Linked DNA regions of Caenorhabditis elegans. The protein of the gene in region 2 purifies or fractionates together with the protein of the main gene of each other region. This does not show direct contact. Each region holds a gene or a part of one and is shown on either strand. Other genes may lie near its edges.

Evidence for each region. Proteins that work in one complex are often made in the same cells at the same time.
Region 1: the proteins of W01H2.2 (region 2) and F47B8.10 fractionate together in Caenorhabditis elegans (co-fractionation; one large-scale study listed by BioGRID). This does not show direct contact.

Annotation. Positions count from the first base shown.
Region 1 is NC_003283.11:14,340,092-14,346,222, reverse strand, and holds F47B8.10 (Major facilitator superfamily (MFS) profile domain-containing protein), read right to left. Parts: upstream 4,252-6,131; 5' UTR 3,027-4,251; coding exon 2,894-3,026; intron 2,425-2,893; coding exon 2,192-2,424; intron 2,144-2,191; coding exon 1,838-2,143; intron 1,737-1,837; coding exon 1,506-1,736; intron 1,427-1,505; coding exon 1,288-1,426; intron 1,173-1,287; coding exon 844-1,172; 3' UTR 519-843; downstream 1-518.
Region 2 is NC_003284.9:4,217,762-4,220,491, forward strand, and holds W01H2.2 (uncharacterized protein), read right to left. Parts: upstream 698-2,730; coding exon 518-697; downstream 1-517.

The DNA of each region.
Region 1 (6,131 bases), on a different chromosome or scaffold from region 2:
AGCTTAAAAATTCAAAAAACCTTATTCAAAGCAGTCCCTGACTGAGCCTGAATCCGGGCATCCGGAAGAACCACTGGAACTTGTTACCTTCTCTGCATGGCTTGACGCTCGACCATCTCGAGGAATTGTCCAAAAGCAGTGTAGACAGTGATCTTCTTGACCATGGTGTTAGTAGAGTTGATTGTGCAAGTTAGTTGAGCGATTGAATTCGCAATGAGTAGATTTATGATTTCAAGCTTGTTATATAGCATGTCTTAGCATGATGTACTAGATTTCAACGTGGATAAAGTTAACAAAAGTTCACGTGCACGGAAAATTGAAAGGCCATAATTTTATTTGCTTTAATTTCATAAAACAATTCAAAAAATGCAGTTCGTCACGGTAAAACTTCATCAATAAATATAACAACAATTTTATAGTTGACACTTAAAAAATTGCTATTACTTTGCTATTATTAAAATACAACATACGAAAAAGGTAAAATGCTCTACTCATGCTCTTTTTTCCAAAAACAGAAAAATCATAGAAATTGTTTATTAAATGGTTCGAAACAAACAGAACAATTTTGATAAAGCATGAAAAATGTACATATAAAATATGAATTTATTGTCAAACTGACAATTATCAATAAAATCATGATAATACTCTGACTCGTGGTTAAGCTATGACAATGGAAGTGGGTATTCAATTGAAAAAAAAAGAAAAATCTTCCCGTATATGAAAATTAGTGAGATTCCAAACAAAATTAATTTGTTTTTTGTTGTGAGTAATAATTTCAAAAATTGCATATATGTACAATTAAAAATCTATATGTACAATTAAAAATCTAGTGAATGTCAAAAATTAAACCTTATTAGAAGCTAAGACATCTCTAAATGGTTTAATTTTTTTCGTCGCGTAAAGGGCTAATAACATTGAAATTCTAGTTTTCTTATTGAGACTTGTCAAATTTCTTTGAGAATCTACAACTGTACTGCAAACTCCTGAACTTTCGTCATCATCTATTTCATTTTTAGATGCTTCATTTTCTGTAGTATCCATACGAAGACGTACACGGAATGAAGATACAAAGAGGACGATGACGAGTTGAACTGAGAAGATGTAGAGAAAGACTTTCCAGCCAAAAACGCTGATGAGGTATGCTAGAGGGGTTCCAGCAAGCATTGATCCAGCTGAAAATATTAATGATTAAAATTGAGATTATTAAAAAAAGAAGATTTTTGAAAATTATAATGCACCAGGGGAAAGAATTTGACATTGGACAAGAATTTTTATAAAAAAACTTACAGCTGGCAATAAACGAAATGAATGCACTGACAGTTCCTTGAATTTTCGAGAACCCAGCTTGTGAAGCAATCATGCACCAAACATTAATCGATCCATTAACAAACATTCCAGCTAAGAATCCAAAGATTGAGCTCAATTCCTAAAACAACTGGGTGAAATTTGATTATTTTTGAATAGTTAATACTAAATAAAAAATTCCTAATCCAAATAAAACTCACCGCAAACTCAAAAATTCCGGCTGCTGAGAACATCATCAGGCAGGTGTACGATACAGCAATCACACGTCTGGTTGCATCCACATCAAATTTACGAGTTGCCAAATCAATTACAATTCCAGATGCCATTGTTCCCACCAGTCCACCAATTTCATAGGTAATTTGGAAAGCATCAGGGGAAATTTTGGAGTCGGTCAGGAAAAGTTGAACCCATGTTTCACAGATTGTACGCATCTGAAATAAATAAATGTTGATTAAAAGATAACGATATTACAAAATAAGATTGTCCACAAGTATGCCAGCTCGACCCAGTGAAATATTTTCTTCACACTTACCTCCATGGTGAACAAGTAAACAAAAGATATATGCCAAATCACAATCGATCCTACAATAGTTCTCAATCCTCCTTTCTTCTTTTTCTCTGGATTTGGTTCCTCATCATCTTCTGTCTGCTTCGGAGACACATTATCCTCGCGGAGCACAATAAAGCATACTATCGAGAAAACAAGCATTCCTGCTCCAGTATACAGCTCTACATTACGCCAGTAAAATTTCTTTGAAAATGGCTGAAGAATTCCAGCGAATGTAGAACCACAAGCGAGAATTGAGAACATTGTTCCGTAGGTAGACTTGGAGTACCACTGAAAATATAAAAGTTGTGGAGATCTAATTTTTGTAAATCAACTCACCGATTGTACTAGTAGAGTGGCCGGAACCCATCCAGCGCCTTGTACAATTCCGAGAAGCATCATTGCAATCAACATTTGCCATAAGTGATTTGAAAATGCTAAACCAACTGAGCATGCTGCACAAGTGACAAGTCCCAGTAGTAAAAGAGCAACTTTTGAATATCTATCCGATGCCATTCCAAATAACAGACGTCCTATCGTGTAAAGAAGAGCATGTGAAGAAACGAGAATTCCTGAAAACTTGAAATTAGTTTAGATCAAGTATTTTTTGTAAGATGCTGACTTTCTCACAACCATCCAATATTAGCTATCAAAGTTCAAAGCTGAATTGATTGTGAATACGTGATTCTTTATCACTAGCTTCCTTCAAGATTTGATCATCGAATATTTAATTTATTATCGTATGGTCATGTGATGAATTATCAAATTGAAAAATCCCGTTTTATTGAAAGTTGTGTCAGCAGTCAGTTCAAACAAGTGATACGGTTGCCATGTAAACAACTGATTCAGACCTTTGAAGATCACACTACAGATTCGTATACTTAATAAAACTACAAGATCTTCAGTTAATGGGCAAAGTTGAAATTTTCTGAAATTTTCTTGTAAGCCTTTCACGTAGGTACAAAAATGGATTCTAAGTTTAGGCTCAGGCTTTGGTTGAAATTATTTTCCGAAATAAACACAAAATAAAATACAACTTACCAATATCATCACTTGTGAGCACAATTTCCTCCCTAATCAGTGGCAAAAGCGTAATGGGAAGGCGTCGAAAGTAGATATGAGCAAAGTAGATAATAGTGACGACGACAAACTTGATATGAGTTTTGAAGGACATGTCTTTGAGCGAGATCCAATGTGGAACTGTAGTCAAATACTAAAAATTAGAGTTGGAAGAAAAGTTCTGGACAGAATTTCCAGATGAAAAAATATTGTGAATAGTACAGAAAAGTCTCTGATAGACAAGAAATCAGGTTTCGATCAGGAGAATATTTATACAAAATCGTACATTGTGGGTGGGATGAGAAGAAGGAAACAGATAAGACAAGCGACACGTGACTCCCTAATAAATTCAAATTTCCAAATAGGCCACGCCCCCATTTGACCTGTTTCAGAAGGCTTCTGCATTGGGGGTTTCGAGGTGAGAAATTATCTATCTGCTTATCTGGAAATGACTGTAAAGAATATATATTTGTGAGCAGAGGAAAGAAATGAAGAATGCAAAATATGAATACAGTTATCATCAGAACATATCAAGATTCGATGATGACCTGAATGAGATTTACAGAGAGCGCTGGAATCGAAGAGACGCAGAGATTAGGAGAGCGTCAGTTAATCAACCAATCTGATGACTTGCCATGATATTTAATCTTTCAACTTGATTTTATGCAAATTCTTGTAGATTCACCGAACAATGAGATCAAACGCTCTTGTTTGTTGATAGGTAAGAAGAGGATGTTGACTGTCATTTCTAGAAGTTTCTGTAGAAAGCGACATGACTTTCTATTATTTTAAGATCTATGAACTTTTGAGTTTTAGAAGGAAAAAGAGTTTGAGTAGTCTCTGACTTTATTTCGATCTGAACATTTTCAGTGCGTTTTCGCGTCTGTATAAAGCTTTTACCGAATCGAGAGCTTCTGTTTTTTCTACGGGCTTTAAGAGTGGGCAATACACTAGTATTTTAAACTTTTAGTGTTAAAAAAAACAATTGAAAGTTCTTCCGTTCAGCCTGATCAAAATAAAAATAAACATCGTCAAAGAATTCATATCCCAAGAAGGTTAACAATACGAAAATCATGAAAAGCCGGAAATAAAAATTAACGCTCTTGGAGCAAATTTACGGTTCTCGTTATCGCAAAAATTAATTTTACGTTTTTTAGATCAAAATTTCATAGTGTAGAAGTATAGTTCGGCCGTTAAAATGTATGTCTAGACTAGTCTAAAATGACAAAAAAACAATTGTGAAACGATTGTAGCACTATACACAAAAATAATATGAGCATTCTTAAAAAATAAACCTTGAAACCACAAAATCGGCTAGTAAACATCATAAACGTTTCCTACAGTTCTTTAATCTATCAACATTCTAATTTGTGATTCAACTTTATCATCTCAAATTCCCCAAACTGGTCACTTGTCAAAACTTTTAAATTATGGTTCACATTGTTAAAAATACATTCCAAGAACTACAAAAGAAGCACGTGGTGTTGCAGTGTAATATTCAAGTCACGTGTGACGTGAATGCGTCATTTCCATTTTCAGAATAGGAGGCTGGAAACCGGTCCTTAAATAATCTTTGCAGTCAAAATGATAACAATTATTTTAATAGAATATAAGTTGAGGCATTCCTGGCACGCAATGTTTCAGTGGGAATATCCAACTGATCCAAAAGTTTCAGGTGTAAAATATTTCTAGACTCACTTCTTACTGTTCTCTCGGATATAAACTGTAATCGCAGTAACTGAAAGAAACTTGATAGTAACTGTTGGTCTTTATAAGAAATCATGGATGAAGCATCGTAGAAGACAAAAACCAGAATGTTTCGCTAGCACCTATTTGCTCGGAAGTGATCTTGGAACTTTGGCGGAAAGTGCGCAAATATAGCCAATTCAATGAGTGCATTCACGGGTGCATGTTGAATATTTTTAAGGCGACATCTGGGAGGAGGTAAAGGTGAATTGTAAGAATTTGTTTGGGAAACATTGTCTGGCAGAAAAGAACGGGTTCACACCAGAAACTCGGTTTTTCAAGCGTGAAGGTAGGTTCTAGAAAACTCAATGTTCCAGATCCCGTTTGTTAGAAAACCAGTACGTTGTCTGAATGAAGTAATGAAAATATTCAATGAAAATGAAGTGAATGAATGAAGTTGTAGTCTGAATTTATGTTGTTTAATTAAAGCACCTTGTTGGTAGAGCTGGAAAGCTTTAATGATGTTTCATCGAGGCCGATAATTTATTCAAGAAATAATAGGTTAAACTTCTTGCAAATACTGGCTTGTAGCCCCAAACTGTGAAAAAATCTTGGATTTGAAAAAAATCGTGCAGTTTGTACGATAATTAATTATTTAGAGATTAATTTTTAATGAGAACCTCACACAAAATGCCTAACTTTGACAGGTAGGCTAGAAGCTTTTGAAGATAAAAAATATTGGCTGCCTGCCAGAAGCAGTTTCGGGAAAGTTTGATTTTTGTCGACGTTTTAAAATTTAAAAGCTCGAGGACGTTGCTGAGAAACTGCATTTTTAAGCCCCTCTTGTTTTCATTTTTGAATAACGAAATACGTTTTGACGCAACCAACTACAACCAACTAACTAACTTTATCAACGAATTCAGTGGCAAACCAACGGAAAAAAAAACTGATGAAATTTTACCCGCTTTTCAACTTTTGCCATTGTTGAAAAAAAGTCTGATAAAACTGTACAAAAAGAGACGTTGGATCGTTTTCCTTTTGTACTATGAATTGTGAGCCGGTTGTAGTAAATGACGATTACAAACAAAAACAAATCAGACATTAATTCGGGATTTAAATATGCAAAAAGTGAGGGTGGTTTGGAAGGAGAATGTAGGACTACATGACGTTGATTCTCCAATATCATCTTTTGATTTCTTTTTGGTTTTTGAAAGTTCGCAACAAACAAAAGTATGGTGATCAGCAGGTTAAAGGTGAAAAATAATAAAATGGTAATTTTGAATTTTCTCTTATAACTAATTTACGGAGAGCACACTGTAGTTCCAAATCTAGAAGCACGAGTAGTCTACAGTCGCCGATTCTTTATCCTGATTGACCTTTGATAGCCATGGCCTGAAAGATGGTGGTTACCAAATTTGTCATGTAACCTAGATTTGAGTTATACTCGATGGAAAGTCCAGAAAACTTATTCAAAAATCAAAAACGCGTTAACTTTCGGTCACCAATGCATGCAGGAAACGCAGGAACAGTTATT
Region 2 (2,730 bases):
TTAAAAAAATTTAAAAATTGTTTTAATGTCGTTTCAAAATTTCGAAAAAGAACTAAGTTTCGCTAAAATCTCGGCAGTTGGTCGGAAGTTGATTTTTTGAGATTATCTTTAATTGAGGTATTTTTCAGTCGTTGGGTAACAAATTTGGATCATTTTTTAGTTAACTATTGGTTTTAAATGTACCTTAATCAACCAAATGAATTGAAAGAAACGGCTTATATATGCAATAAAGAATGACAACTCAAAAAGTTAACTTTGACCGCTGCGACACGGAACAGTGGAAAAAAAGAGAAAAAGTGGATTTTAGGTTTCAAATTTCGAATTTTGAAAATTTGAAAAATTGATGACCTTGATTAATTAACTCAATCAATCAATCATATTGAGAGAAACAGAAGATTTGTTAAAAATCGGCTGCCCACGTGTTTCCAAACAATATTTATACAGAACGTTCGATGGGAGAAGTAATCCGAATCTGTTGTTTTTGGTTAAAACATTCCTTCTCTCTCGGAATTTGTGATCAATATGAAAATGATGCGCGTTTTGGAGCATCGGGTGTCGTCGGTGCCGGTGTCGAGTGGCCGCTGGTGGTTCTCAACTGACAGCGGGCTGCGACGGCGGCGGGCGGGCGAAAATTTTTTTTTTCACACTCCCAGACTAGACGACGTGGGTTTGGTTGGCAAGCCTCTCCCTCTCGCATTTTTTTTCTTCCTTCGTCTTTTTTTGTGTGCTCCTCGTCTTCATGCTCTGCCTTTTTTCCCCGCTATTCCTTTCAATGCATAATATTTTTCGGTTGCCGGGTCGGCTGATTGCAGGAAAAACACGTGTTTTGTTGAAGGAATATAGAAGGAATATAGAGATTACTGTAATCTGTACGGGTATTGGTATAAGAACTCAAAACAAAAACAGAACAGCGCCTAAAATTGTTAATGGTGACGTATGGCCAATGACAAAAATGATTATAACCCATTTCTATGATGCTAAATTGTTCAAATATATTATATAAAAGTTTTTGAACAATTTTGGAATTTTATATTTTGAGTCAAAAAGTGAGCGTCACTTATCAAGAAAATTAAAGCATTATCGCATGTTCAAACCCCTACAATGTTGGAATATAAATATTTCAAACACAATTGAAACATAAAACTGGAAGATTTTTTGGTAATTTTAGCACCATAAAAATGATTATTAACAATTAAACTACTGGCCGTAGTCAATCTTTTACATGGACGGCAAATATTCTGGCAATTAAAAAAAAATCAAAACCAAACTGAAGTTCAAAAATTTGCTGCTCGTGGTAGACTGTATGAAAAATCGGTCAGAGATTATCCTAAGTATAAGTTTTTGCGTCATAAAAGAATTGAAAAAAAGAAATGGAATTGAAAATTCTATCGATTTTTTTTTTGGTTTGTGAGATTTCATCAAGGAACATTCAAGTGTGAGGGAAGAGAAATAGGAAAAAAGGAAAGTTTTGATGTAAAGATGTGAAGACAATGTGTTGGACGAGAAATAAAAATGAATCAGCAGAAAAAAGTGTTTCCTATGGTAGGTAGATCGAAACTTGGCGAAGGAGGGGGGGGGGGGGGGGGTGGAAAAGCAGAATTGTTGACATGGATGGAGCAGGAAGCAATCTTTGAGACGATCGATGAAAGAGAAAAAACATTTTTGCTGGCAGCGGCGGCCCTATCTTGAAAATTCTGAGTGGGAAAATGTTAGAAACAAGTATGTGAAGAAAATACTGTGAGAAGAAAAAAGAAAAAAGATTGGTGTGAAAAAATTCAGATCAAATAAATTTCAATTATCAGGCTCTATAGTATAAATGAAAATAAAGTGCAATGAAAACATATAACTTGTGATGAATCTAAAAGCTTTTTTCTGATCATCAGTTTTTACTGATCAAAAACGTGACCAACTTGCCAAAAAAAAAATGCTCGCCACCTGACTGAGTCTTTCCTGTCGCCACGAATTAGACTGACAAAGTTGTGTCTGTTCAGCCAGTCTGGACAGAGATGTAAGGAATATTGGGCAACGACGTCCAATCGCCGGTTTGGAAATCGGGTGAAGGAAAAAAAGGGGAACAGGAAGACGGGGCGATGTCCATTTCGCGAACAGACCAATCCATTCATCGAGGGCGTCTGGTCGGATCTGTGTAAAAAACGTCCAGATGGTGAAAGGACTCGGAAAAGGGTACCATTAAACCGATCGAGGCCTGGTCTGTTAGAGTGCAAAAATATAGGAAAAAAAATACAAAAAGAAAATGTAAGATGATTGAGGACATCTTGTCAGAGCCTTAAGTTAGTTGGACATTGGGCATTCGAAAAACCGGAATAAAATTGAAAATCGCCTGAGGTCTGAAGAAGTCTATTGTAAAACAATGTACAGTATACCAGTTTCTCAATACAATAGTCGCCATGCTGGCTAATACTTCCATCACACACAACTACTTATACAAGTGAACACACCACCACGCACAAAAACAGACAGGGGGAAGAGGCAGTTATGGACGTTTTCAATTCGACATAGTTGCCAAAAAAAAAACTTTTTTTTTGTCCAAAATACTACTTCCAAATGTTACATGGCGTGAGCATGACAAGTGACATCGTAGAACTGAAACAAAGAAAAACCACTAATTAAAATTGAATTGAAAAAAATTTCAACTGAAATTTGGCACGACATTTTAAATTATATGTATGCAAGTGTTGTGTGCCCAATAAATATAGTGGTTCAGTAAAC